Linked DNA regions of Cricetulus griseus. The protein of the gene in region 1 binds, or shares a complex with, the protein of each later gene. Links are inferred from orthologs where the notes say so. Each region holds a gene or a part of one and is shown in the gene's direction. Other genes may lie near its edges. The genes, in order: Nup205 and Cetn3.

Region 1 (3,817 bases):
GATGTATCATCTTCTGAATGAGTCACCGATGTTGGAACTTGCTCTCAGTTTACTGGAAGAAGGAGTTAAGCAGCTGGATACCTACGCACCTTTCCCTGGTATGTGCCTGAAGGTCTCTGTGACACCGTCATCTTCTGTACTGGAAGAGTATCTCATCTAATGGTGGTGTTTTCAGTGAGTCACTATGAGTGAAAATAGACTGTAGTACTGACTCTCTCACTGTGACTATCTCATCTCGTTCATGGTCATTGTAGGGTCTTCTGCAGGTTACTAAAGTGATCTTTCTATTGCTTTCACATCTTTAACATCCTTAACTCATGATACCTACAGAAACACGTACTGTGGTCTGGTTCATAGTGTCCAGTAAATGTTACTTACTTTCATGGGCACGACTATTTGTTGACTGCTTTCTATGCAGTTGGCTCTTAAAAGCATAGCGTATGTTTTAATCTGCAGAGAAGTCTTATGTGGCAGATCTCATTTATATTTAACAAAATGATGTACAAAAAAGTTAAACTGAGAGCTGGGATTTGATCCTAGGCAGTCAGGCCCCAGGGCCCATCTTCATGCTGTTGTGGTGTGTTGTCTTTCTTGTGGCAGTGGTCTGAAATAGGAAAGTCAGATTCTAAACATGGGGCTGTAATTATATAATTCATAGGTAAGAAACTGTAGAAAGAGTTATCCCAGCAAGTGATCCTTGATATATTTTCTGCTTTTTAGTTCCTGTAAAGAGTTTTGGAAGGGTTATTTTTATTTTCTGTGCGTGAACATTTTGTCTGTGTGAATTTACATGTACTGTGTGTATGCCTTATGCCTGTGGAGGCCAGAAGAGGATGTCAGCTTCCCTGGAATTGGAGTTACAGTTGGTTGTGAGTTACCATGTAGATTCTGGAACAGAACCCAGGTTCTCTGCAAGAGCCAAGTGCTTTTAGCCACTGGGTCCTCTCTTGAGCTTGCAAGCGCCTTTATTTATTTTTTACAATTGTTATATCTTAGTTGAAGTAAGTGTCTTACTCTCAGCACAGTTGACAATTTAGCTGATGGTTCTGTGTTGTGGGTGCTGTACTGTGTGCTGTATGCTCTGTCTACTGGCTTCCAGTTGTACTTCCTCGTTAGGACAAGTAAGAGTGTTTACAGGTGTTGTCAGATGTTCATTGGACACACATCACCCCATTCAGAGAGCCATCGTGCCAAATGGTGGTTCTCAACCTGTGAGTCACGACCCCTTTCGGATCACGTAGTAGATATCCTGCATACCAAATATTTACATTGCAATTCATGACAGCAGCAAAATTACAGTTATGAAGTTGTAAATAGTTTTATGGTTGGGGGGTCACCAAAACATGAGGAACTGTGTTAGGAAGGTTGAGAACCACTGCTCTAGAGGATCAAGGGCAAGACTAGAGAGACGCTAACATCTGAATAGCCTGGGTCACAGAAATAATTGCGTTTATGTAGGGAAAGCTATTGTGAAGGTGCTGTTGAAAAGTTTGTAAAAACAAGAGCTTTTTGATATTAAAACTTGCCTTTTAGGTGGTTTTCTCTTAAGTACTGTATGTTTCCAAGATTCATTTGGATTCTAACTTCACTTGGGTTGACAGGAAAGAAACACCTGGAAAAAGCAGTTCAGCATTGCCTTGCACTTCTCAATCTCACTCTGCAAAAGGAGAACCTTTTTATGGACCTTCTGAGAGAAAGTCAGCTGGCTCTCATTGTCTCACCTTTGGAACAGCTTTTGCAGGGAATTAATCCCAGAACTAAGAAAGCAGACAATGTGGTTAACATTGCCAGGTAAGTTCCATTTGTCAGTAGAGCAAGAGAATGATAGGGGCATTCTAGCTTTGATTCTCTCTCTTTTTTGTTGCATTTTAAAACATCACAGATTATTGGTTTTGGCCTGTTTTCATACTATCTAATTTCACCCCTTTGATTTTAATCACTCAGTCTTACCATGTCTTTTCTTCTTTCTCTTCATAGGTCATTCTATGTCCTATAAGTTTTATGTCCAAAATGAATAATGTTTGTTTTCTGTAGGGAAACTGAGTGTTTGGGGCTGGTGTGGGGATAGAGAGCCACCCCCAGTCACATACATGTGTTGATGTACACACATGTATATTTGCTAACATTCTGATGGTTTGGTGTTGTGTAGCTTGTGGAATCAATCCCTCACCTTCATATGATGTTCTGTGGAAGTGCTTCTGTCCATATATCCTTTGGTGAGGACACAGTCTTGTTGTACCCTTGTTTTAGTTATGTTTCCCATTGCTGTGATAAAACAATGTGACCAAAAGCAATTTGAGAAGAGTTTCATTTTGTAGCTCTCAGCTCACATTCCCATCACTGATGAAGTCAGGGAGGAACTCAAGGCAAAAATCTGGAGGCAGTACCTTAATCAGAAGCCATGGAAGAATTCAGCTTCTTCTAGCACCCAGGACCCTTCTTCTAGCACCCTGGGGTGGTACCGCCCATAGCGAGCTGGGCCCTCCCACAAAAACCATCAATCAGGAAAAATCACTGGCTTGCCCATGTCCCAGTCTGGTGGAGACATCTTCTTAGTTGAGGTTTCTTCCTCTTCCAAAATGATTCTGGCTTGTGTCAGGTTGACATAAAGGTAGCCCAGCGCCATCCTCTTTAGCCACCTTCTCAGTACTTGATTTATGTACTTGTGTGCGCCTACCTGACTGCGGCATCACCTGCGTACATGTTGTGCCTGTGGAGGTTGGAGCCTGTAGAGCTGGAGTGTGAAGCAGTTGCAAGCAGATGGAGGTGCTGGGAGTCAAACCAGGTCCTCTGCAAATGCTCTTAACCATGCGCCCTTTCATTTTCTGTATCGAGAGCAGTGAACAGCCAAGCTTGATCACACTGTTCCACATTGTTCTTCTGAAGGTATCTCTATCATGGGAACAGTAATCCTGAATTAGCCTTTGAAAGTGCCAAGATCCTCTGCTGTATCTCTTGCAATTCCAACATACAGATCAAACTGGTTGGCGATTTCACACATGACCAGGTAACTGATTCTGCTATTGATGCATTCTAGTGGTCACAATGCCTGGATGTATTGAATTTTTGTTTGTGGAATAATCCTCAAAAGAGTATGTGCATTCATAAGGGATAGGTGAGGAACTAGCCATGCACTTGATGGCCTTTTGTCATGATGCTGGGTTCCCTGCCTCTGTGTTAGTAGTAAGCTCTAATTCTGGCAAATCAGAGTGACCTCACATCTTCGTGAGTGCCCTTTGTCCTTGGGGTCACGGCACCACCAAGGCTGGGAGCCACTGTAAGTGCACAGGTGGCTTTGGAATTTGCCCTTTCTTCTCCTTTTGAGGATGGGTCTGACTGTGTGTGCCACACTGGATTAGAAGCTATGATCCTTCTTTGTCCTCTCCCTCCCAAGTGCTGGGTTTCAGGTGCGAGCCCCACCATGCTGAGCTTTAAATACAAGTTAGCGCCACTAATCGGAGCATACTGTTTCCTGACAGGTTTCTTTTTGGTTTCTCTCCTTCCCTTTTCTTTTTTTGTTGAGGCAGGATCTCATTAAGTAACCTTGATTGGCCTGGAACTCAGTATGTAGCCCAGGCAAGTCTTCAACTTAGACCTGTCTGCCTCTGCCTGCCAAGAGCTGAGATTGAAGGTGTGTGTATCACCCTTGGTCTGCTTTCTTTATTCAGAGCAGGCTTACTTCAAACTTAGATCATCGTACCTCAGCTTCTGGAGTGCTTGGATTACAGCTGCATGGCACTGTGCCTGCTTTAATTATTTTTGGAATAAGTTTATGTGTAGCAATCTAAATAGCTAAATTTTCTTTTAATTAAAAACA
Region 2 (3,917 bases), on another chromosome or scaffold:
TCTGTTTAAACTTCCCTTTTAAAGGCGTAACTAAGTAGTAATAGTTTGTTTCTTTTACTTCCCAGGAGTCTGAAATTTATGTGTTGTAAGAATAAGCTTAATATTAAATGAGAGCATTTTTATCGATTTATTATTTCTATCAAGTTCCTTTGAAAAAAATCATCTCACATTACCAGGCAGTGGTGATGCATACCTTGAATTCCAGCTCGTGGGAGACAGAGACAGGAGGATCTCTGAGTTTGAGGTCAGACTGGTCTAAAGACTTGCAGGATATCCAGGGATGTTAACACTGAGAAACCCTGTCTCAAAAAAGCAACAACAAAAACAAACAAAAATTGTCTTGTTATTTTTCTGTAATTTATTCCTTCTAATTTAATTTTGTCCTTTGTTTCAAACATCTTCATGTAAATGGTTTATTTTCAGATTATCTAATAATTTAATATTTAATAATACCAGGTATTTTATTTGGTGCAAACATTCGGTTAAATGGAAAGTAGACTCCTGACTTTGATGCCATTCAGTTTAGCAGGTGAATGATCCAGGTGAGCTTCAGGAGGCCTGGTGGGTAATGAAGACCATGGGCACATAAACAGTGTTCAGCACTAGAAAATACAGGACAGAAGCAAACAAATACATCTCAAATCGCACACAAGTTGAAAACGGTGGTTTAGGTAGTTTTTCTGTAAATAAACTAACAGACCAACATAATGATGAGCCTACTTTAGTTTGTCTTCGGCCTTGGTGGTGCACATCTTTAATCCCAGCACTTGGGAGGCAGAGGCAGGCGGATCTCTGCGGTTGAGGCCAGCCTGGTCTACAGGGTGAATTCTTGGAATCACTTGGAAACGTTGAAAAGGGAAAACACTTGGTGGCTTAGTAGTTACTGAAATAAGAATGGAGAACAAAGCCCTCAGATTTACGTTTTGACCTTCTGAGTGGCAAGGGCTGGATCCCCAGTGACTGCTTGTGCTGAGCATTTTCCCTTCCCCCCCCAGAGCGCCCGAACCCAGCGTGGTGACTGACACCGGCAGCAGGGCCAAAGGTACTTGATTGACACGAACGGTGACCAATGAGAACAGAGGGCCGGCGAGGCTCCCGCCCCAATGGGCCGACTATTGGCAGTCTTCAGCCAATCGCAACCAGAAATCTCTGTTTGGTGGGTGGTCCCGCGGCCGGGAGGTTGGTGGCTGTTGAGCGGTTCCCGTGGAAAAGTCCTTGGGCGGAACATCTTGGCCGGAAGAGAAAATGAGTTTAGCTTTGAGGTCGGTAACGAGGAGGCCGTGTGTCCATTCCGCAGAGGGCCAGGGCGGGCGCGGAAGGGAAGCCGGGCCGGGCGCGGGTGCAGAGCGCCGAGCATCACGGCGGTGCGGCCCTTTTCTGCGGACTGCGCCGGCGCCGCATCGGGAGCCCAGTCTCGCGAGGTTTCCCTCCTGCGTGTGAGGAACTCGGGCCTGGCGGCCTCCTTCCTTAGGACAAGCGTGGGACAGCCAGGCTCTCTCCGCGGTCGAGGCGCCCTGTGCGTCGGCCGCCCCGGCGGATCTGGTGCCCTTGATTTCCGCCATTCTCGTCCAGGCACCCACCTGGCCCACTGGCTCCCATTGGCTCCTCACCCTGTCCATCTTCACGTGCAGGCGCTGTAGAGTGGGTAGACGCTGATGGCCCGGCGGGGGTGTGGCCCGGCGTGGGTGTGGCGGGCGGCCACCTCTGCTCAGCCCCTGCCAGCCTTCTGCCCTTCAGGTGTAAAGAGCCTACACACTCAGCCGTGTTTCAGGCTTTCAAGCTTCCATTTCTTAAAACCTAGCGGATACACGTGTTGTGCCTCATTTAAACATTGGCAGTCTTTAAGGCAGACGTTTTTGGCCCTAAATCCCTTTTTAGATGTTCTTTTACGCTTCTCCAGAGTTTTTAAATGAAGACGTTTAACCCATTGTTTATAGGTTGAGACTGACAACACTTTTAAACATCACACAGACTCAAATAGGAACATTATATGCTATTATTTTGGTCGTCTAGTATTTGTTTAGGTGCTTTTATATTTTGGCTGGTTAATATGGAATGAAAACACAAAGCACTGTTAGAAATGTATAATCTGAAAGCATTTTGAACTTGCAGTGTTAAAGTGACTCACCTTATAAGCTTTATGGTTAATCTTTGTAGTAATTGTGAGAATTTAATTAGAAGCTGTCCAAGGTAAACCATATATCGTGGTTGTCATTTGTGAAATTTACTTTCACATGGATTTTTATATTTGTTTTCATGCTCTTGGTAGGTAACATGAATAACAACTAATAGTGCTTTGGATTTTGGTATATAAAAGTACATTTGGAGTACAAGACGTTGACTTAGGGACAGCTTCTTTATTCTCCAGACTATTCTGCTTTGTTGAAGTTTAGAAAACCATTCTTTGTTCTAAGTGAGTTGGGTTGAAGTGGACTAAACACATTTTCCTGTGTCACAGAAGTGAGCTTGTAGTAGACAAAACAAAGAGAAAAAAACGAAGAGAGCTCTCTGAAGAACAGAAGCAAGAAATTAAAGATGCCTTTGAGCTCTTTGATACCGACAAAGACCACGCAATAGATTATCATGAATTAAAGGTAACAGTGTATTTGATGACACATCTCTTTTGTTTAAATGAATTGCACTTTTGACTGTTGCTTTAAAGTCTATTTTAAAAACTTGTTTTAGAACCCTGAAGCTGTTTTCAGTATCCACTTACAGGGGCTGCAATAAAATTGAATAAAAAACCCTAATATGGCTTTTAGAAACTCGTATTTAAATGTAAAAGTACATTTGGTGGGAAGTAAGGCTTTTTCATTCACCCAGGTGAAAGAACAGTTCTTAGCTTATTCTTCCCATTTTTGGTTTCTTCTGGAGGACGGAGTAGCTCAGATTCTTTAAAAAAAACATGTATGTGGCATGTGCATGTGCATGTGCCTGTGCAGGCATGTAAACCACATTGTGTAGTGTGTGGAAGGCAGAGTGGGGCTTTGTGTATCTTTCATCACCATCTACCTTACTGCCTGGAGACAGGGCACCTCACTGAATTGGAAGCTCATAGCCTAGGTTGGCTAGAGAGTGAACTCTGGAATCACATCCCGATCTACCCCTCAATGCTGGGGTTACGGACACTTGTAGCCATGCCTGTCTTTATGTGGGTGGTTACAGTTCCAGTTCTGGTCCTCGTGAGTGCAGGACAAGCGCTCTTATCCACTGAGCTATCACTTAAGCACAGCACAGACAATTTTCAGATTGAGAGAGTGTTACCTTTGCTCAGATGTTTCCGAGATTGAAAATGTATCCTTTCAAGCTTTTATTATTTATCTTTATTTTATATTTTTGTTGGACAAGGTTTCTTTATGTAACAGCCCTGGCTGTCCTGGAACTCAGCTTTGTAGACCAGATTGACCGAGAACTCAGATTTGTTTGCCTCTGCCTCCCAAGCGCTGGGATTAAAGGCATGCAACACCACCACCTGGCTCAATCTTTGAATTTTCAAAGATAATACGGACAAACTCTTATTTTTCTTTTCTTTGCTACAAAGGATGTACATTGTCTGATGCCTTATGTTGATACATGCTGAGGGACTATGTCAAATTTAAGGCTTAAAATTACTAGTAAAGGAGCTGGGCGGTTGTGGTGCACACCTTTAATTCCAGCACTTGGGAGGCAGAGGCAGGCGGATCTCTGTGAGTTTGAGACCAGCCTGGTATACAAGTTCCAGGACAGCCTCCAAAGCCACAGAGAAACCCTGTCTCCAAAAACAAAAACAAAAACAAACAAACAAACAAAAAATCCAAAACTACTAGTAAAGATTGGAGAAATTGGTGAGGATCTTATTCAGTCTACTAGCATTTATGAAATCTTTTAGTAGCCTTAATGTTTATAGTAGTTTTAATTCGGCAACATTGTAGGGGGGT

What was found.
Region 2: Nup205 (region 1) and Cetn3 share a complex: the UniProt entries of both Homo sapiens proteins name them as parts of the nuclear pore complex. The link is inferred for Cricetulus griseus from reciprocal best matches to the Homo sapiens genes NUP205 and CETN3.

Annotation. Positions count from the first base shown.
Region 1 is NW_023276806.1:192,733,777-192,737,593, reverse strand, and holds part of Nup205 (nuclear pore complex protein Nup205), read left to right. Parts: coding exon 1-98; intron 99-1,601; coding exon 1,602-1,791; intron 1,792-2,886; coding exon 2,887-3,007; intron 3,008-3,817. UniProt on the Homo sapiens protein: Plays a role in the nuclear pore complex (NPC) assembly and/or maintenance. May anchor NUP62 and other nucleoporins, but not NUP153 and TPR, to the NPC.
Region 2 is NC_048595.1:302,231,658-302,235,574, forward strand, and holds the start of Cetn3 (centrin-3), read left to right. Parts: upstream 1-1,127; 5' UTR 1,128-1,245; coding exon 1,246-1,262; intron 1,263-2,458; coding exon 2,459-2,594; intron 2,595-3,917. UniProt on the Homo sapiens protein: Plays a fundamental role in microtubule-organizing center structure and function. As a component of the TREX-2 complex, involved in the export of mRNAs to the cytoplasm through the nuclear pores.